2 linked regions of the Danio rerio genome follow. The main gene of each other region encodes a partner of the protein of the gene in region 2 in a complex. Links are inferred from orthologs where the notes say so. Each region holds a gene or a part of one and is shown on either strand. Other genes may lie near its edges. The genes, in order: polr2c and gtf2e2.

Region 1 (10,987 bases), on a different chromosome or scaffold from region 2:
TATGGGTCCATGGCATCTAACCACTCAATCTAACAATGGCGTCTAACCACTCAAATTACTGTAATTTTTTTAGAAATTAATTCTAAATTAATTTCTGTATTTTTTTAATTACTGTAGTTTTTCTTAGAAATGGTAATTTACTATGTGGATTTAAAATGTGTACTTTATACTTTCACTTGAGTACACTTTCAGTGAAGTATTGTACTTTTACCCCACTACTTTCCTTCATCCAGCAGTCACTACTTAATTTTTTCCTGTCTATGGGGATTAGAAAAGTCAGTCATGTGATTTCTGTTCAATCGAATCGAACATAGAAATAAAATTGCTTCATACTGAATTACCATAAGACATGCAGCAAACTGTTTGGAAGCATTGAGTGTCCATGAAGATACTTTACACGCAATGGCCCAGAGACTATTTAGACTGAATGTCACTGATGAGAAGATGACGAATGTTTTTTTATAATAATAATAATAATAATAGTTTTTATTTATATAGTGCCTTTCCAGAGCTCAAGGACACTTTACAAGAAATGCGACAAAAAGATAAACAAACATACATGAAGTCAAATATAACAAACTGGAATTACACAAACAAGATCTAAGAGACATATGAGCAGAGTGGAGGTGGATCAGATAAAGTAGTCAGTTTGGCAGATCAGAAGCGAAGCATTCAGAAAATAAGAGTCTTAAGTAAGGATTTGAATTCAGAGATACTTTATGATGACTAAAATGGTCTTAAACAATTCAATTCATCTTTATTTTCATAGCGCTTTTACAATGTAGATTGTGTCAAAGCAGCTTAACATAGAATATTAAAGTAAATTGAAACTTCAGTTTTCAGAGTTTAAGTTCAGTTTAGTTCAGTGTGGGTTAATTTTCACTGCTCAGAGTTCAAACACTGAAGAGCAAAACCATCGATGCACAGCTCCACAAGTCCCGGACCATGCAAGCTAGTGGCAAGAAACAAACTTCACCAATTTGCGAAAGTTAACAATCACTAAATACACCACAGAATGTTACGTTTATACACTCACACACACACACACACACACACACACACATACACACACACATATATTACATGTAAACGCATCAACCTTTCCCAGCGTAATACTCACTGGTCATGAGTACTTTTAAAAGTGCTACTTTTTACTCTTTTGATTAATATTTACAACAGATACTTTTACTTTACTTGCACTACATTTTAGGGCAAGTTATGGTACTTTTACTTTGTATGATTTTTCAGTACTTTTCCCACCACTGCATCTAACTGACCTTTAAATCCTGTTTAAACATTTGATTTATTTTGCAACTTAAATTAAATTAGCATTTGTCTCTCATCTTTTCCAGCTGAAGAACCTAACCGGGATGAACCAGAGACGATGAGTTTTCGTCTTTCACTATCTGACCTTTCGGCCATGCAGCACAAATGTCCGATACTTCCCTAGCCTGCTCTAAACCAACTACACAACATGAAACGATCACAGTGAAAGTGTGTATGTCACGATACTCCCCCAGCACTTTTTAAATGGGTCAGCTGTGCCATACCAAATTCCTCTGTCTGAATCTTGACCCGAGTCCAACCAGGAGCCAGTTTTCCTTCTGCCATTGCAGTCTCCTTCTTGTTTTCTGCATTTGTAAAAAGAAACAAAAAAAGAAATGTAAATTGTATTTGAGAGTTCTATGTTCATACAGTTTGTGTCTGACTCTTTGCTGAGTCCTTCAAAAAAGAAATAAAGGCTTACCTATTTGCTGAACGCTGAGTTTGTTTGTTTGTTTGTTAATCTCTCCATGGTAATAATCCAAGTCTGTGATGGAAGAATTAAACACGATATCAAGGAGCTTTTCCCTGATATTGTGTTTAATTCTTCCATCACAGACTTGGATTATCTTCTTTTTATATGCCATTGAAACAATTGCTAAATATTTATCTGCTTTATATATTAATCTGCTTTAAGTGGTGCAATATTTGCAACTAAAACATGCCAGTAAAGTGTTCTTATTAATAATACATCAAGGGTTTTAATGTTTCTTATTACATATAGCAGGGATAACAAAAACTGTTCAGTTTAACATGGTGGGTCAAACTTTACAAACACTTGTTGGTTATATGGCCACAAATGCAAGTCTATTACATGTTTGTTTGTTTTTTACAGCAGACTCCTTGCAACAAAAAGCATATAAATATTTGTGTAAATAAATATCTCAATTCCGTCTTTAATAAGATATTTTAATGCTTAGGTTTAAGACGAAAGCTTAATTTTAATTGTGGTCTAATGAAACTAGGCAATGGAAATGTGTCACATTGCTGTTTGAAGTACACACACAACATGTTTTAAATAAATGGTTTAGCATAATTTTTAAAAAATACTAATATTTTACTAATAGTATTGGTTATTCTTTTGCACATTTGTGTATAAAATATAATGTATTAGGCTTCATGTTTCCTTAAAATGGGCTATATGCACAGCTCGTATTTTTTAGCCAATGGTAAACTTCCGTTGAAAGGTTTCTGTTACAATTTGAACTTTTATAAGCATCAACATCATAATATTGCAATCAGTTAAATGCACTTAAGCATTAATTTAGTTGTTCAAGCATTAAACGAGATGATAGACTGTAACTGCTAGCACCGTCAGTACCAGCAGGTTAGTGCAGAAACTCCATTCAAAATACTGAGTTAAAATAAATGTTTATATTTCAAAGAAATGGCAGGCAAAATTTGAGTTGATTGCAGTGCTTCTTATCCAGTCTGAGACCCACTTTATATCTAATAGGCAGTGAAGATCACTTGTTTTTAAAGAAAACAGATAATCGTGCCAATTTTGTATAGAAAGACAGTTCACTGAAAATCCTCGAAAATGGCTGGCTAAAAATTAAAAGTCCATGTGCACACCCCATTACAAACCAATGCTCTGAAATTATTAGTTTGTGATCATTTCCACAGAAAACAGCACAAAGAAATACCCATAGTAATACAGTTGTAAACCACAAAAATCGGAATTATGAAATCTGAATTTAGATGTTGCAGATTTACCTGATTTACATCTTCCACAGTAACTGATCATACTGATATAATGTCATATACAGGCGTGTCTAAAATGTAAAAAATACTACATTAAGTTAATATCATGTATGTTAGGTTTGTGATTTTAACTATGTATTTATTTCAAGACCTCAAAAGGACAGAGGAAAAGTTTTTATTTTAGATTTATTAAAAAAGGACAATAACATGTAATCTTACTTTGAGTGTTCTGCAGTTTACGGAAGAAAAATTTCGCCCAGAGTATATGATTGGGTCATAAAATCTATTTCTAAAACTATTACATCTGACCAGAACCTGTGCTTATACAGACTTAAAATGTGAAATGCCAAAATTATCTATTGAAGGGGTGGAGATTTTGTTAAGTCTAGCTTGTACCCTAAAGCTTTTTATAAATGGAAATTAAATCACCCGGTTCTGTCCACCATTACAATTTGGCCTGGTATCAATAAGTTTTTAGTGCCTATAATAAGATGAAAGAACTTTATTTTTAAATTCTTCATAATTACTATCCTTTCAAGTCTTTACTGTCTGAATTTAATATATACAATTCTTTGCAATGCACTTTCTGTAATTCTAACCTGGAAACAATATAGCATTTAGTTTTAGAATGCAATTTTGTGGGAAAATTTTAGACAGATATATCTTGGCTTTTCTTCTTAGCTTACAATTTTTTTTTCGATTTTAAGACAATTAATTTATTGTTTTTGATTTGGGAGTCAGATTGTATTTAAATGGACAATATGGTAAATTTTTTTTAACTCTTTGTGGCCTTTTCCATGTTCACAAATGTAGAGTTATTCAGTGTTTGCCAAATTTTAAAAACATTTTGAATCTACTTTATTATGAATTTCTGCCTATCGCAAAATAAGAAAGCTGCTAAAACAACTGCACTGCTGAAAAAAAATAATATAATTTTAGTAATTACCTTTAAGTTATCAGATCTCTTTTGGTATGCCAATGTAACATTCCTAATAATCTAAGTATAGTTTGAGATATTTATGTTTTATTTCTTTTGATATATATTTCTATATTTTTATTTTCTTTAAATATTTGCTTTTCTTTCATGTATTGTTTTTCCCATATCTAGATCTACATTGCAGTAGATGAACAATGAATATTTATAATTTGTATTCAGGTCACACAATGTTAGCACAAATTAATGTTTTATGTATTGCCTGTTACTTATGTCATTTAAAAATGACCGTTAAAAAAACTATTTTACCTGAACGCTGAAGACTTTTATTTTGTGTAACCGGCAATACTCCTGCAGTACTCCGGATGTTAACGGACTGGAGGCAGCCAGTGCCCAATGAGCTGCTTTCGTTTGTTATTGTGCTGAAGCCGCGCTCGACGCTGGACGTAATTGAGCAACTCACCGCACGTATAGTTGATTTGTTATTATATATATATTTTGTCTTAATCCGGCTTGATTTCGGTATGCCGTACGCCAACCAGCCCACGGTAAAAATCACGGAACTCTCGGACGAGAATGTGAAGTTCGTGATCGAGAACACGGATCTCGCGTGAGTAATGAGATTGATGGAGTCTAATCGATGATTTTGACCACAAGTCTCATGTTTAGAGCATTGTAGTATGTTTATTGTGCTCTCTCTAAAATGTAATATGTAAATACTAAATATAACTTACGTCTGGTAAAAACATGCTGCATACACCACGGTACTTTTTTTAGTTTTTTTTTTGTTTTATTCAGGAAATACTGTACACTTTACTGTTACAGATTACAGTTTAGTACTGTTTATTGTTGTTCTAACTTGACCGAATGCACATTAAATGCATTTTAAAAGCACATGAACAAAAATAATAATGTTTAAATAAGTCTAAATTAAACAAATAAGAATGGGGAAAACCATTATTAAATGTAAATATACCTTAAAATCATATAATGTATGTAATATATATAAAGATCTATCTATCTATCTATCTATCTATCTATCTATCTATCTATCTATCTATCTATCTATCTATCTATCTAACTCAAATGAGCATATCCATTGGACAGTTTTTTTTACATTTAATTGCTTATTTTTGTCATAATCTAGCCAGATAAGCATACAGTACTCAGCATATATGAGTACACCCCTACAAATCTCTCATTTCAATGAATATTTTCTATAGGAAGCTTTACAATATTATATTTGTGCATATACATTAGATTAGTCAGTACTGAAGTTAAATCTGGAGCTTATTTAACTAAATAACTTACAATGATGATTCAAAAATTTGTAGCCCAGATTTATGTTAGGGAAAAATAAATAAAACTTTCAAAAATAGCAAATATCAAGAGAAGCAAAAATATACACAATTTAGTTGAAATGTTGTAGTCTGTAATTCTTTTTGCAATATTTTGCATGAATTTAATTGCAATATCTTTCCATTTCTAAAGATATTCTGTGACTAAAATAGTATTTTAATATATCTGTTTAATAAATCTGTTATATTCAAATGCGCTTATATACACTACCCATATTCACTGAGAAATTGATAAAAATATGAATTTTCAAAGTGGGGTGCACTCCATTATGCTGAGCACTGTACATGTATTTGAATTAAAAATCACATATATTGGAATATTGAGCATTTTAATAGTTTAAATTTGTTGTTGTGTTTACATGAGGGAATAAAACGCTTCTGTATTAATTTAGTTTTTAGTAGTTTTATCTGTCCATCTGTCTATCTGTAATGACCACATTTATATATTTGTAAACATATTTCATTTTATGATAAATATGAGTTTATTTGTTATGTTTATTATCTGTAATGTTACATTAATTTGTAATGTTTTACGTTTGGTAAATCTATTTTATTTTTTATGTAAATTACAGCACCCTAAAAAAAATGTTTAAAGTTTAAGTTTGATGATAAACATTTTAATGAGAATAAGAAAAGCACCTGTATTTTATTTTGTTTATTTTTCAGGGTTGCAAACTCTATTCGACGTGTGTTCATGTCAGAAGTTCCAACCATTGGTAAGAATCAAAATCTAATCAATATGAAAAAAAAAAACACGTTAATTTAATAATACGTTTACTTGATTTAAAGGGCACCTATTTGACCCCTTTTTCAAGATTTAAGAGCAGTCTTTTGTGTCTTCATAATGTGTCTGAAAAGTTTCAGCTCAAAACACCCATCAGACTATTTATTTTACCATTTAGAAGTTTGTAATTTTCAGCTCTGAGCATCTTGTAGCTGTTTTTGTTGCCTGTGTCTTAAATGATCGTTCTCCCCGCCCACCGTTTCCATGTGCCACAGTCAGTGTGCCACAGTCTCGATAGAGCTGCTTGATTATGGGAAAAATCATAATCACGATTATTCAAACGATTATCAGTTGAAGTCAGAATTATTAGCGCTCCTGTGTAATGTTTTTTTATTTTATATAAAAATTTCCCAAATGATGTTTAATAGATTCAGGAATTTTTCACAGTATGTCCTATAACATTCTTTCTTCTGGAGAAAGTGTTAATTGTTTTATTTTGGCTAAAATAAAAGTAGGTTTAAATATTTTAAAACCTATTTTAAGGTCACTATTATTAGCCCCCTTAAGCAATATACTGTTTGATTGTCTGCAAAAGAAACTACTGTGATACAATGACTTGCCTAATTACCCTAATTGAAGCTGCGGCCACACTGGACTTTTCCTCACATAGACTTCCATTCATACCCACGTGAATGCCGGAAACGCAGGGTCATGCGTCAAGTTTCGGAGGTTGCTGTGGTGCAATGTTCAAGCTTGGTGAACTCTGACCTGCGAAATCGTATCACTTGACTGCTTGAGACCAATCGAGGATCAAAACATGACCTCTCTGGACAGAAATTTAAAATATAGATCAGTGGTTCTCAAACTGTAATACATGTACCACTAGTGGTACGCAGGCTTCCTTCTAGTGGTACGCTGAGAAATGAAATATGTCATGTACATGCTACACACATTTCAAAATTTACCAAAAATGATGGATATAATATGCCATATAGGACATATAGCCTATATTTCTGAGGTATTCTGCCACGTTTTTTTAACTGTGCAGAGTTGTAGCTGCTTTACTGGGCCTACTACGCTACTGTATTTCAATACTGCTCATTTTGTTGGTACTAGGAGAGACTATTTTTTTCTGAGGTGGTACTTGATGAAAAAAGTTTGAGAACCACTGATATAGAGCAATCGCTTGCTTTTTAAATGTCTAATCATCTTGTTTAATCCCGCCCCTTTTCGCAGAGCCGTTCAACAGAATTTCGCAAGCTCAAACTCTAGTGTGACAGCAGCTTAAGCCTTTGAATCACACTTTGAATCTGAATGCTTGTATTTTGAAAAATATCTAGTAAAATATTATGTGCTGTCATCATAGCAAAGATAAAATAAATCAGTTATTAGAAATGAGTTATCAAAACTATTATGTTTAGAAATGTGATGAAAAAATCTTTCTGTTAAACAGAAATGAGGGGTGGGGGTGGGGGGAAGGGTCGCTAATAATTCAGGAGGGCTAATAATTCTGACTTTAACTGTATATATGCACAGTTATTTTCCTTCCTGTAAAAAAGGAAAGGGAAATAAATACAATAGAATAAAATATGAAACAAACTGTGCTTTAAGCATCTTCACTGTAAGAATAAAACTTTAGCTACAAAAGTCCTTTAGTCAAGAGCAGAGAGGGATTTTCTCATTTGTTGTTTGATTAATAATGATGAAAACAGGCGGCAGCAGGAATATTGCGCGCTGTCACTTTAATGGTTTCTCTTTCACATGAGTTGATCCTCAACTTGTTTATTACACATGATTGTTAATATGAATAATCACTAATCACTTTTGACACCTATTTGACCATTAAAGCGCTCACATTAAGATGACTTTAGATGTGTGTGCCCTGCTCGTCTCTAAGCGCAGTGTGCGAATGAGACCAAATGCTGACCGCATGTTGTGTGTGCGCCGCACACACACAGCTGCGGCATACGGTCTCATTCGCGCTTTTAAAAACATGAATAGAATGTAAATCAATGAACGATGCTCATCCCGTGCTGTAAACGTTACACAGTACATGCTTTTAGTGATTTTCATGTGAAACTGAGCTTTGCAGAGCAGAAAATGTGTACAACTGGAAAGGGGGTCGGTATATGACGCAATAATCCTTTATCTTGTTCAATGATTTTCATAATCGTTAGCAGCCGAAATAGAATTTTAGATTAATTGCACAGCCCTAGTCTCCAACTGCGTCAGATAAACAGCACAGTTACAGAAATAAAGGAAGCAGATCTCGTGTAATGTTTGTGAGAAATACTACAGTAAGAACTTTCCCAATAATTATTTGATGTATTTGTTGTGGAGTTGATTCAAGCATTTCAATGAGTTGCACACAATGTCGTTACAAAGTTCTCACACACACATAGCACAGGCGTTTAACCTTGCACCGTTTTTGCATGGCAAATGTGACAGAATACATGTTAATATACACTACTGTATGGATATACGTTATGTTAATGTACAAAGTAAACCTGATTTAATGTCCACAAACCGGGATTGAAGCGTCATCTTTTAGAATTGTACTGACATGCGGCTGTGCTGATGAAGACGGTAAAATTTTTTAAAAGTTTTAAAAAATGTTTTAAACTCGTGCTTGATCACATTTGATGATGATTGATGATCACAGAGAGCTGAACAGATCTTTTGATCCCAGTTGCTTTGCACATGTCCTGTCTTGTTGATATGATTACTACAGAGACATACTAATACACGGCTGTCAATCAATTCGGTGGGTGGGGAAACTGCACTACTAAGTCACGTTGCGGTGGGTCTCAAAATGAGGATTTTAATCCTGTTTTAACATCAGGATATATATATATGTATATAAAAAAAAGAGACTTATTGTCTTTATATCACCGCGATATGACTATGGACACACTGTACCTACACACAGTCCAAACAGCTCCTAAAAGATGGTTTTCATCATAGGTGCCCTTTAATTCTGCTCTTTGTCTGTTAAACCTGTTAATCTGATGTAATGCGCTCATTTGCCAGCTATTGATTGGGTTCAGATCGATGCCAACTCCTCTGTGCTCCACGATGAGTTTGTTGCTCATAGAGTGGGTGCGTATGTTCATCGTCTCTCCAAAATCTTTCTCTTCATTCTTCCAATAACACCAAGCATAATTATCAGGCTCATGTTTTACAGGATTAATTCCGCTCACAAGTGATGACATCGTTGACAAGATGCAGTACTCGAGAGTAAGTGTCTAAACCAGGGTTTCTATTTTTATAAATCTGCATGAACATGAATCATCTTATTAATTGGAAGAGCGAAAATGTAATATTTGGCTTACTTTGTTTCCAATCAGGACTGCACGTGTGACGATTTCTGTCCCGAGTGTTCGGTTGAGTTGACGCTGGACGTGAGATGCACTGAAGACCAGACACGTCACGTGACCTCACGAGATCTTCTGTCTAATAACCCGCGAGTCATTCCTGTAAGGAGATTTTCTAGAGTCATTTTTAAAAAATGTATTCAAAATGCAGGAAAATAATATTTTAGCCAGTACAAAGCATGTGACTTCAGTAGCCATTGTTTGTTTTAGCTTAATTAATAATTTTAAAATATCTATTGATAATTTAATTTCTCATCTGGCATCTAGTAGCCAGATAATGTTAAAAATAAGCAACTATGGACTGATACCAATATGGGTGATAGATGCATAACAACTTGTTGATAAACAAAAGGTGTTTAATTAAAAAAAACATGAAAAGTAGAAAAACAAAACGTCATTTTCAAGTTACAAAACTTTTTTTACTTTTTTTACAAAACTAGATTTTACATTTGTTTTTATTTTTTTATTATGTTTTAACAACTGACAGAGTTAATGACAGTAAATGGGTAAATATTGTGTCATTTGAACTTGGCGTTTATGATTAAATTAAACAAGAGATGCTCTGAAATGTAGAATTTAGGCAGATGGCTATAATAGTATCAGTAAAACCGATTATATTTGAAAGCCAATAACCGATATATAGGCATATCGATAAGATACATTCTCAGCTTAATTGGCAATCATATTTTTCTTATCTGGGTCACATGATAACAATAATATAAAAATAAAAGTTTTACATGATAATGAGTTTGATGATTTGATGACAAGTTCTACTTTTGATTTAATAATAAAAATAAAATGACACTACGTGTTTTAAATTATATTCCACAATTACATTTACTTTAACAGCTTGTGGTTAGCAAAATATTTTAACAAACTTAGATATATATATATATAGGGGTTATATTAGGGTTGCACAATTCTGGAATTTGGTACCAATCAATACTGAAGTTTTAAAAACGTCCATTTCCTGATTAACTTTGGATAAAAATATCATTGTATTGTGATTACTGCTATAAAATAAATTCTTTTTTAATGTCTGGGTATAAAACTAAAACTTTTTTCCCTTTTGAACACAATATATTTTATTTTGAAAAACATTTCTAATTTTTTGAAACATAAAGGATGTCAAGCTAAAATAATTATTGACTTTTAAAGTCTTCAGTTGTTGCAAAAAACAGATTTTATTTTTACAATTTAAAACGGCATCTATAGATATCTTTACTGCTGAAGATACTGTTGTCCTAAAAAAAAAAAAAAAGAAAAGAAAAAAAAATCGTACACACCTAAGGAACGGTATTGCAGAAAATTTTGACTGTTTTAAAAACCGGGATTTCCTAAACCGCAGTATTCCTTGAAAACGGTTTTATATATATATATATATATATATATATATATATATATATATATATATATATATACACACACACACACACAGTTGAAGTCAAAATTATTAGGCCCCAGAGTTTTTGGCACGTTGTTAGTTTTTTCCCCAATTTCTGTGTAGCGGAGAGAAGATTTTTTTCAACAGATTTCTAAACATAATCGTTTTAATAACTCATCTTTAACT
Region 2 (10,902 bases):
TTATATTAATTGTCTGTATTACATTTATGAAACAAAAAAAACTTATGATTTTTAGAAGAAATGATGGAGGTAAGTAATATCACGCTTTTTATTTGCAAACTATCAGCATGTGAGTTAGATAACTGGTGTATTTATTTTATGAAGTTCAACAAAATAATCATTAATAATATAATTATTATCAAAGTCAGGGGTGCCTCATCTCGCAGACAAAAGAGAGAAGTGGGGGTAATACATTTTTAGATGCAATGTTGTATTTTTTCTTGTCTCCAACAAAAATAGTTCCAAATAAAGCTGCGTCTGCTACATTTTTTGCATCCCAGAGCTACGCTGAAGTGATTTTCTGAATAAATGAGCTTTTAAATAAATCGATTGAGCCAGTGATTCAAATGTCTTTAAGACGGTCACTCTTTCGTTTTTAAATAGATCAGGTGCATTTAATAGGATAGTTCACACTACTTAAAATTGTTATTATTTACTTGCGTTTCTGCAGTAAACACATAAGAAGATATTCTGAAGAAAGCTGGATACCGGGAACCATTGACCTCCATACTATTTGTTTAACCTAATATGAAAGTCGGTGGTTACAGCTTTTCAGCTTTCTTCAAATGACCTTTTTTTGTGTTGAAAAGAATAAAGGAAATCATAAAGGGTTAGAACCACTTGAGGGTTACAGTGAGTATGTTTTCATTTTTAGTCAACTGTTCCTTTAAATAAATTGTTTGAATTGATAATTTTGCATATAGCCTATTAAGATAGTGTCGCGGCAAAATCCCCTCCATAGTTACAATTACATTACATTACAGGGACTTGCCACCTTGGTGGCTTTACTGTCATATTGATTTATCCAGGGTTCCGATCCTTCTTGAAAATACTTGAACTTACTTGAATTTCATACATATGGATTCAAGTTCTGGTAAGTGCTTAAAAGCAAACATATGTTCTTGAAGGTACTTTAATTTAATTTGAAATATAGTTTGATTATGGTTTTTATTTCAACAAATGTACTTAATTGTCAAAGATAGAACTAAAAAACTTAAAATAGAACTTAAAAACCTTAATTTAAAATTTTGTAAAATAAGATTTGACAAATAAATCGTTTTTTCATCAATATTTCAGAAACCACATTGGAATATTACCAGTGTTGAATTGAACAAATGTTATTAAAGTATTTTGAACATTACTTTTTTTTTTCTTTGACATTTATAACGTAAATATAAAGTGTAAGTGAAATGTTAAGTACAGGGGTCTGTTCTTCCTAGGTGGATTACTCAGTTAGCTGGATTTGGACATTGATGATTTGACATGATCCAGGATCGTTTAGTTCTTTAAAACTTATCTAAGAGTTGTTGTCATAGCAACAGTTGTGGTAGCTCAAACCTGGTCGGGAGCAGGCTCATTCATGTAAACAGGATTACATCGGGTCATTTCAAGATAATACTTACTGAAAGTATGGACCAAATGCTGATGTTTTCTTACAGTAGTTATATACACTTGGCAAAATAGTAAATATAATTTATATATATATATATATATATATATATATATATATATATATATATATATATATATATATATATATATATATATATATATATATATATAAAGCAAAAAAATATATATTAACAAAACTTATGCAATCTGCACTCCGAAATAAAGTACAAAGCCTGCCAGGTTCAAAGAGAAAATGTATTGATTTGGACTTTTTAGTTACAAACGCATACATGCACAATATTCAACTTTTTAAAAAACGGATAATAATTTATGCAGTCATGCATGTGTTTTGGCCGCTAATAAACCAGTGATTTGATGCTTCGCAAAAGTTGCAGACACCTTTACCGATACAAAAATGCTTTTTTGATGCAAATTTAATTTATACAGTTATTCCTTATGCCGATTAAAAAAAAACTTGAGTAGGCCTAGGCTACTATAAAAAATAAAATCTTCTCTAAATGTAGAACTAAATACATTGATACCCATTGAAATACATAATGAATACTCCTGACTAGGGATGGGAAGATTAACCGATATGTATCAATACGCGGTCATGCGCGTGCACAATGCGAGTGCATCGGTAGAGCAGCAGAGGATGTATGAAATTTGGAAGCAAATCGAGATGCATCGGTTTTTGCGAGATGCATCGGTTTTTCCAAGATACAACTTGTCTTTTTAATGTAGAATGTGTTTTTTGTTTATTAACAAGTGTTGTCAACCTGTTTTGGCACATAATTTAATCGACCTACATAAAGTATGCCTTAGCAACGGACTTGCAGATGTGTACACTTACACTACAGCTCTAAGCTAAACAAACATGTTGGACGCCGAGACAATTTATTCTCCCCACTGAGTTTTAAATCTAAAGTATGGCAACATTATGGATCTTACAAAAAAGATGGATGACTTGACAAGACAGATGCAATTTGCAAAATGTGCTGCTCATCTGTAAAATACACGGGCAGTACGACTAATCTGATATCTCACTTGAAGCAGTGCCACGGTGTTGTTGTGGAAGTATCTTCTAGTGTTCCTGCATCCCCTGCTTCCTGCTGTGATTCACCTGTAGCTACCAGCTCCAAAAGTGGTGAGAAAAACATTGAAAGTTTTTTTCTATGCCCCGGTTGCTAACAGTTCCGCGTGCTCTATGGCAATAACGGATGCTATTGCATTGTTCATCTGCAAAGACATTCAGCCTTACAGTGTCACGGAGAACGAAAGTTTTAAACACCTCCTCCTTTTAATTTTTATTTAATTTTATTTTTATTACCCTGTTGTTTACATTGACATTCATGTTTCAAAGCAGCATAACACTGCTAGTTCACGACCTTAAGTTTTGAATATTAAGTGGAAAAAATTGTCTTTGTTAAACTTGTTTTCATAGTTGAAAAGTTAAATCACAATTCGTGTTGTGCAATGGTAAACCTTTATGTTGAAAGAGTGCAAATATATATATATATATATATATATATATATATATATATATATATATATATATATATATATATATATGTGTATATGTATATATATATATATGTGTATATGTATTGCACTTATACATTCTGTTTATCTTGGAAATACTTAAATAATATGTTCCATATGTTCTAAAATGGCCCTCTACTGTAAACCGACACTCGGGCTCTGAGAGAAAAGCCAGTTTGTAAAAAAAGTCTTGGTTTTATTGGTTAATAAATAATTAAAGTCATTCAATGGCACAGCATCCTCTTTCACATCATCACATAAACTTGATCTAATTAATTACTGCTGAATTATCACATTGTATTGTGATATGGGTGTGAATCGTATCGTATTGCATCACAATATGTCACAAATTTATCGTTAATGTATCGGATCGTATTCTTTGTATCGAGATGCGTATCGGATCGGCATTATAGCTTAGATGCCCAACCCTACTCCTGATACATGAAAGTGTAAAGCCTGCAGCTTATAACAAATGTGGAAAGTAATTTGCGCATCATATTTAACAAACCGTTTACTGCTAATTTGATGTCATTTTACTCAAATGGATAATTAGATGATTTCATTACGCTGCTGTGCTGTCAGCCAATTGTTGCATTGCTGATCATGATTTCAGGAATCGATAGATCTGTCCTTAACAACACACGCAGCGATCTCAGATCAGTTCATCCAGACATTTTAATCTGATTTGCGAACTTGTTTGAAGAACCAAATTAGCCAGAGATCAGTTATCAAGATTAAAAGATCCAGGATCTGCCAAATCATCTTAGATCATTTAAGCGAGGTACAAAGAACAGACCCTAGGACTTTCATGGCACTACAAATACTGGGGTATGAATTACAAGTGTTCTTTATCAAAATAAGGGTGCTTTAAAAAGTCATTGAAAGTCTTTGAATCTGCAGTTAATGAAAGTGTGGGAACCCTGTTTATTATTTTATCTATGATAGGCCTTAACAGCATAACAACAAACTCAACAAAATATTTTAAATTATTATTGTTCAAAATACAAAAAAATCCCTAAAAAATTAATATTTATATTTTTCTGTGTTCATAACGCACACCACTAGCAAACATACAGCTGTCTGTAAAAACATCTGACTTTACAGATATTGCTGTATGTAAAATTGAAAATGTATGTAAATTTTTTTTTCTTTTAAAATATATTTATAAGGCCACAAAGAGTATGGGATAGCTATGTTCCTGTGGTTTTAAATTATTATTTTTATGTTTATGTTTTTTTATTCCAGAATATTATTATAATTATATAATACTTGGATTTATATGCTGCAGAATACTTTTATTGACCAATGTTCCAACAAGCAATGTAATGACACGCAATATATGTTTTCAAGGGCAAGATCGACATTCGAACAAGAATTCAGCATGTAACCTTTCCCTCTCTCCTTCCCTCCAGGCATTAGCAAGTAATCCTAAGATTGATGTGCGGGAAGGGAAATATGCCTTTAAACCCAAGTATCATCTGAAGGATAAGAAAGCTCTGCTTAGACTTCTGGACAAACACGATCAGCTTGGTCTCGGAGGAGTGTTACTGGATGATGTTGAAGAGGGGCTACCCAATGCAGCCAAGGCTATTAAAGTAATACACCATCATGCTGTCACTCATTAGTAACAAAACAAAAAAAAACATTTACTAAACCGTACATTTAAAGGGGACCTGATATGCCCCTTTTTACAAGATATAAAAGAAGTCTCTGATGTCCCTAGAGTGTATATGCAAAGTTTTGGCATCTTATAACCCATGAATAATTTTTTTAGTTCTTTGAAACTGCTCCTTTTAGCCTTTGATCCAAACAGTGCTTTTATGGTGACTGTCTCTTTAAAATCAAATGAGTATGTACTCCCAGCCCTCCTTTCAAAAGAGTGCAGAGCTACAGACAACCATCACCATTCCATCATTAGTGACTGCATCTCACTTAAAACTGTTTATGCTAATAATGGAGAGATTGTCACTAATGGGCGGGGCTTTCCCCCTCTGATGTACAAAGGAAGAATGTCAGACAGTGTTTCTGCAGACTGCTTTTATGAAGTGTGATTAAAATGAAATTAATTAATGATTTTGTACAGTTGAAATCTGGCTATATTCCCACCTTGTTTCCACACAATTTTGTTTAACTCCTTATAAAAGTGATTTTTGCGCATTAGGTCCTCTTTAAAGAGCCCCTATTATGGGTTTTTGACAATGACCTTCCATGTAGTGTGTAACACAGCTCTAAGTGAAGTGAAATATCCAGTTATGGCTTAAATCTGAAAGTGCTCCGTGTTTAAAACAATTGATGCATTTATAAAAGAGTCGATACGAGACTTATGCCCCGCCCAATTATTGCATGCGCAAACCCAGGAACATTTAATGTAAATTTGACCCTTTTTAATGTGTAGTAGAGGCTCTTTAAATTACCAAGTACACAAAAAAGGGCTCTGAGCCCAGGAAAACTATAGATTTTTTTGATACCAAAAGTCTTTGAAATATTAAGATCATGTTTCATGAAGACATTTTGTCTACTGTAAATGTAAAAGTACCCTACTGTAAATGATTAGTAATTTGCAAAACTAAGACTTGAATTTGGATCATGTTAGAGTGGTTTTGTAGTCCAGGATCATGCATGTATTGTAGTATATATTTATTTATGTATATACACAAAAGTTGGTTCTGTCAACAAGAATGGTGTGAAGTAGCCTTTTTTTTGCTTTGGCTATAATTATTAGAAATATAAATAATACAGCTAAACTGTATTGTAATTATTGAAAAAATATTGCCATCTTAAGTGACCACTTGTAGTCACGGACCACTAAAAGACACAATAATACCATGTGGAAACCTGATCCATACCCTTTTATTTATTTGTTCAGGTAATTTTCTTTTTTTTTCAGCATTAGAAAACAACATAAATGTCATTCACTTTGACAGTAGTTTATATAATCATTTCAAAAAGAATGATTTCATGACATTAAATTAGGATCACATTGCAGCTCTAAAAAGCTTATTAATTGTGAATTTAATTAATTGTGATGTATATACACCTTGTTTAAAATGAAAATAACAAGGCTTTGATTGCAAAAAATACAGTTATTTATTTTAATTTGTTCATTTTTTTTAGAAACTCTCATAAATGTCATTCAGTGTAACATGTTTATATACTAAAAAAACCTTTTCATCAAGAATAATTCCTGCACATATTAAATTAGGATCTGATTGCAGCCACATTAGTAGAAATGCTAATCAATTGACATTTTAGATATTTTTATATATCATAAATGTTTGAGATGGAAACACAAGGCTTTAATAGCATGAAATACTCTAATTTGTTTTAATTGGTTTTGTTCAGGCGCTCGGGGATCAGATTATATTTGTGACTAGACCAGATAAGAAGAAGATTCTATTCTACAATGACAAGCACTGTCAGTTTGTCGTGGATGAAGGTATGTGACTCTCATCACAATTCAAAGCTGGTTCATTTTTGTCCATTACTGTTTGTTGAAAGAAGAGTTCCTGCGATGTTCTGTTGGGATATCAGTGTCTTTTTATTTTCCAGAGTTTCAGAAGCTGTGGCGGAGTGTTCCTGTTGATTCCATAGATGAGGAGAAGATCGAAGAGTACCTGAAGAAACAGGGCATCTCATCAATGCAGGAGACTGGACCAAAGAAAATGGTACGATTTGTCTCTCAAACACATAGAAATCAACATTTACACACAGAAAATCAAACACACTCTTCAGACTGGCTATTACGTGCATGTTTGTGTGAGGTTGATGTGATTTGTGATTGGCTGTCACAGACACCAATTCAGAAGAGGAAGAAACCTGGAACCCAGAGAAAGAGACGCTATAAGACTCACAATGACCATCTGAATGGAGTGCTGGAGGACTACTTCGATGGAGTTCCCTCAAAGAAGTGACACACACAGCTGTAAAAAGCTCAGAGTGATGAGACTGATATCTGTGATGTTTGTATATCTGTTCTGATAACGTCTTATTGTCAACCATAAAGATATGCAGACATACACATACACAACTTTAGAACTGTTCTGAGTTGGCACAAATGTGAACAGACTGTAAATATTTCCTTTCCAACATTACGTTTTACTTTTTGCTAGTGCTTTAAAAATGGACTTTTGAGCTCTTCTTTTTTTAGGTTTAAAGATTAAACAAGAGCAATCAAACCACATCTGTTGTTTCTTTTTTGAGTTTATTAATGATGTATTTAAAAAAAATACCTTTATAAGGCCCTATCATACACCCGGTGCAATACACTAAGGGTGCTTTCACACTAGCACTTTTGGTCTGCACCCGGTTTTGTTTGACATCAGAGTATGGTACGTTTAGCTAGTGTGAACGTTGTCTTCTAAATTCAAGTGGGCACAACAAACCGTACCCAAGTCCACCTGAAGGAGGTGGTCTGGGGTACCAAATAAGGGAACTGAACTTCCAACTTTACAACAAACTTTAGTTTTCATAATGTTTATTAGTGTGTGGATGTCTGTGTTAGAGATCTGCATGGGACTAAATTTTGTATCCTGCTTCCACCAGGTTTTAGTCAGAACCCCACCGCTCCCACTTATATTCAGCATTTGTTGTCCTGCAGCCCGACCCACCCCGTTTAACAACACATATAATAGATAAGTATAAACACACACACACAGACAGCATCACACTCTCTCTCATTCACACACATAGACAGCACAAAGCTCTCTCTCTCTTATTCACACACACACACACACACACACACACACACACACACACACACACACAGACAGCACAAAGCTCTCTCTCTCTTATTCACACACACACACACACACAGACAGCACCAAGCTCTCTCTCTCATTCACACACACAGACAGCAACAATCAAGCTAAACAGCATTTTTTGCGGCAGATAGATGCAAGTGGTTTTCTGTATTTTGGTTTTGGTAACAAAAGCAAAAGATTCAGTAAAAGCAGAATGACCATTTTGCTCTTTGCTTACATGGCTGTCACCTAGCAACAGCTGTACACGCCACCGCAGCTTAATGACGAAACCATACCAGGGTTCAGAAGGAAAAAAACGGTGTGAACACAAACCAGCCAAGAAGGTGGCAAGGGGAGATTATCGAACTCTGGTTCAGTCCAGGCAACTGAACCACGTGTGAAAGCACCCTAAGTGTTTTTGGGTAGTTTCAAGCCAGTGCAGGTATCTTTTGCTCCTTTAGGGTTGTCCTCAGTGCTTGTATTCATTGCTTATTAGACTCACAGGGATGTGCAGGAGCCCAGTATTATCTTCAAATATGAAAAATTAAGTGATTAAAATGTCACGAGCAGATTCTTTTCCTCGCTAGTGAAGTGTTCAGTTTTGCCAGTTACAAAGTACTCGCTCTTAAAGATAATGGGAGAAGAGACTCTGATGGATTTAATGCCCAAAACACACCCATGAGAATAAGGACAACACTATTAGACTGTGTTGGATGCACTATACTTAAATAGCAAAAGTGGATTCGGACACCCCTTAAGTGCATTTGCACTGTGTGCTTTAAATCATGTGCATATATGATTATAATACAGCCCTATATGTCATAGATGAAATGGTTTTAATATTAAAAGTGTAATGAGAATTTTTTTTCTGAACAAAAAAATGACTGTTATAATGTCATTATTATGATATCCAGAAGACACCCACTTAATATAGTTTAGTGACAGTTAATATACCGAAACATATTGTCAAGCATGTTTAGAACAAGAATATTTGATGGTTTATTAAGACTCCTATTTAAGGATCTGACTATAATCATTTATGATTTTTTTCTCTGTCTCTCTGTATTTGATTAGCAGTCGTTCTCTTGCAATTTTATCTACAAGCATGTTTCCTCAATTATTACAAATGATACAACTGAAATGCAGAGCACTAATGTTTTATCTTCTAAGCACAACTACATTGAAGTTATATTTAGAAAATCTCCATAATCTAACATTATAATAATAATCATTCAGTTTTACTTGTATGTTCTGTTCAGTGGCATAATTGATTCATCAACCCACATGCAGAACAAAGAAATTCACAAATATATAAATAGATATTAACACTTCACTGTACAGTACTTGTTATTATTTAGCACCTCAGATGTCTGTACATCTTTACACACGCTCAGCGTTTTTCAATCTCTGGTGTGTTTCACATAAATTGGAAACTTGAACTTGCATTAAGTTTTTAATTTAGGGAATATGTGTTCTTTAATAACATGTTTTGCCGTAATAACTCCTAATCACAGTTTATTGATGGTTGGTTCTGTCTGGGCATCAGATGACACAATGACACATGGAACGGCCTTGGAATGACTATATCAAAAGTGCCAAAAGTGCACCACAATTCAAAAAATTAGTCAAGATCATGGAAATGAAGAGTAAACTAGACCCTTTTTTTAATGCAATACAATTCAAAAGAGCTTTGTCGGCATGACCTGTCAAGAATTGCAAAAGTATTGTAAATTACATGAATAATAAACTTCAAAGTGATTATATAATAAATATACACAAAATACATACACAAATAAGAAAAAAAACTAATATTCTTTTGTGAATAATTAAAGGGAGAAATTAAAAAATACAAAAACAATACACAAATATATATTCATTCTGATGGTTTGTAGTAACGTTTCAGATAACTTTCTTTCATTTGTGGAAATATACCTAAAAACCATTAATATGCACAAGGGCACAATACACATGAACTGTAGTGTCCTGAACACGAATATATTTTGTTATTTTTATTAAAAGGGGCATATATCTATGCAGTATTTTAGATAGGGAGTACTTTGTGTTTTTTCTCTGTTCTTTTTCCTCAAGGCTGCACCATTTTTGAATAGAGTGATGATGAGTTGCACCAACAATCCGACAGCACCTGGTCAAGGACAAAGCCTTTATCGGCCATGACTACTCCTTCAGGCACCAGTAATCTAACAATTCCAGACTGTTTTGTTATCTTTTGGTCTAATATTGACCCTGCAAAGACCTTTAGGACAGAAGTGATTACACATATGGTGCAATACTTATCAGAGCCCTGAAAGAGGTCTGATTCTTGTAGGTGGAAAAGATTTCAAATCTAAATCGTGTTTAGATGGATAAAGTTACCTGGCATTGTTGTTCAGACCTGTTCCCTTGACATTCAGATTGGCTGTGACCCCAAGACAAGGTGTAAAGATTTCCTCCTTTTTCTTTCCTTCAAACCTCTTATAGCACAAGTCGGTGCTAAAAAAGTTAACATGCATTAACATTCTCTTTCACGCTGACTGCAGCACTACAACAGTACAAGGAAAAACACAACCTCGAATGCCAGTCTACAGTGTGGACTTGGTTTTCAATATTTATTGCATCCTGTATTCTCTGCTCGAGTAGACTAGGCATGGGGAGATACCCAGTTTTTAAGTTTGCTTTGGAAAAGTAAAAGTTTTAAAACTGCATAGATTTGGTTATAGCATTGCTAAGGTATATGTATGATTTTTTTGTGTTTTTTGTAAAGAAATCTTTTTTGAAACTAATGAAGATAGCAGATGTCATTTATTTATTTTATTTACTTAATTTTTAGCCTGACATGTTTACTGTTCCAAAATATTTTAAATGTTTTCTAAAATAAAATATATTGTGTTTAAAATTTTGTTTTTTTTACACCTTTTTTAGAGTAGTAATACCGTGATACCATGAAACCAACACAATCTCACGGCAATTCGTAACTTTTTCATTTAGTGGCTAATTCGTACAATCTAATTTGTACAATTTAGTACGATTTGCTTATCCCCCAATGACGGTTAGGGTTGGGGTTAGGGGTGGGGTTACGTTAGGTGCCACGCCTCCTTTTTAAAATCGTATCATTTAGTACGACTGAAATCGTACGAATTTGTACAAATTAGCCATTAAACTGGCAAAACGTAAAATACTTACGCTTTCTCGT

Evidence for each region.
Region 1: gtf2e2 (region 2) and polr2c share a complex: the UniProt entries of both Homo sapiens proteins name them as parts of the TBP-based Pol II pre-initiation complex. The link is inferred for Danio rerio from reciprocal best matches to the Homo sapiens genes GTF2E2 and POLR2C.

The regions. Positions count from the first base shown.
Region 1 is NC_133200.1:15,313,549-15,324,535, reverse strand, and holds the start of polr2c (DNA-directed RNA polymerase II subunit RPB3), read left to right. Parts: upstream 1-4,294; 5' UTR 4,295-4,485; coding exon 4,486-4,571; intron 4,572-5,985; coding exon 5,986-6,035; intron 6,036-9,073; coding exon 9,074-9,142; intron 9,143-9,227; coding exon 9,228-9,280; intron 9,281-9,390; coding exon 9,391-9,519; intron 9,520-10,987. UniProt on the Homo sapiens protein: Core component of RNA polymerase II (Pol II), a DNA-dependent RNA polymerase which synthesizes mRNA precursors and many functional non-coding RNAs using the four ribonucleoside triphosphates as substrates.
Region 2 is NC_133176.1:24,448,364-24,459,265, forward strand, and holds the end of gtf2e2 (transcription initiation factor IIE subunit beta), read left to right. Parts: intron 1-4,385; coding exon 4,386-4,568; intron 4,569-6,315; coding exon 6,316-6,409; intron 6,410-6,522; coding exon 6,523-6,638; intron 6,639-6,764; coding exon 6,765-6,884; 3' UTR 6,885-7,153; downstream 7,154-10,902. UniProt on the Homo sapiens protein: Recruits TFIIH to the initiation complex and stimulates the RNA polymerase II C-terminal domain kinase and DNA-dependent ATPase activities of TFIIH. Both TFIIH and TFIIE are required for promoter clearance by RNA polymerase.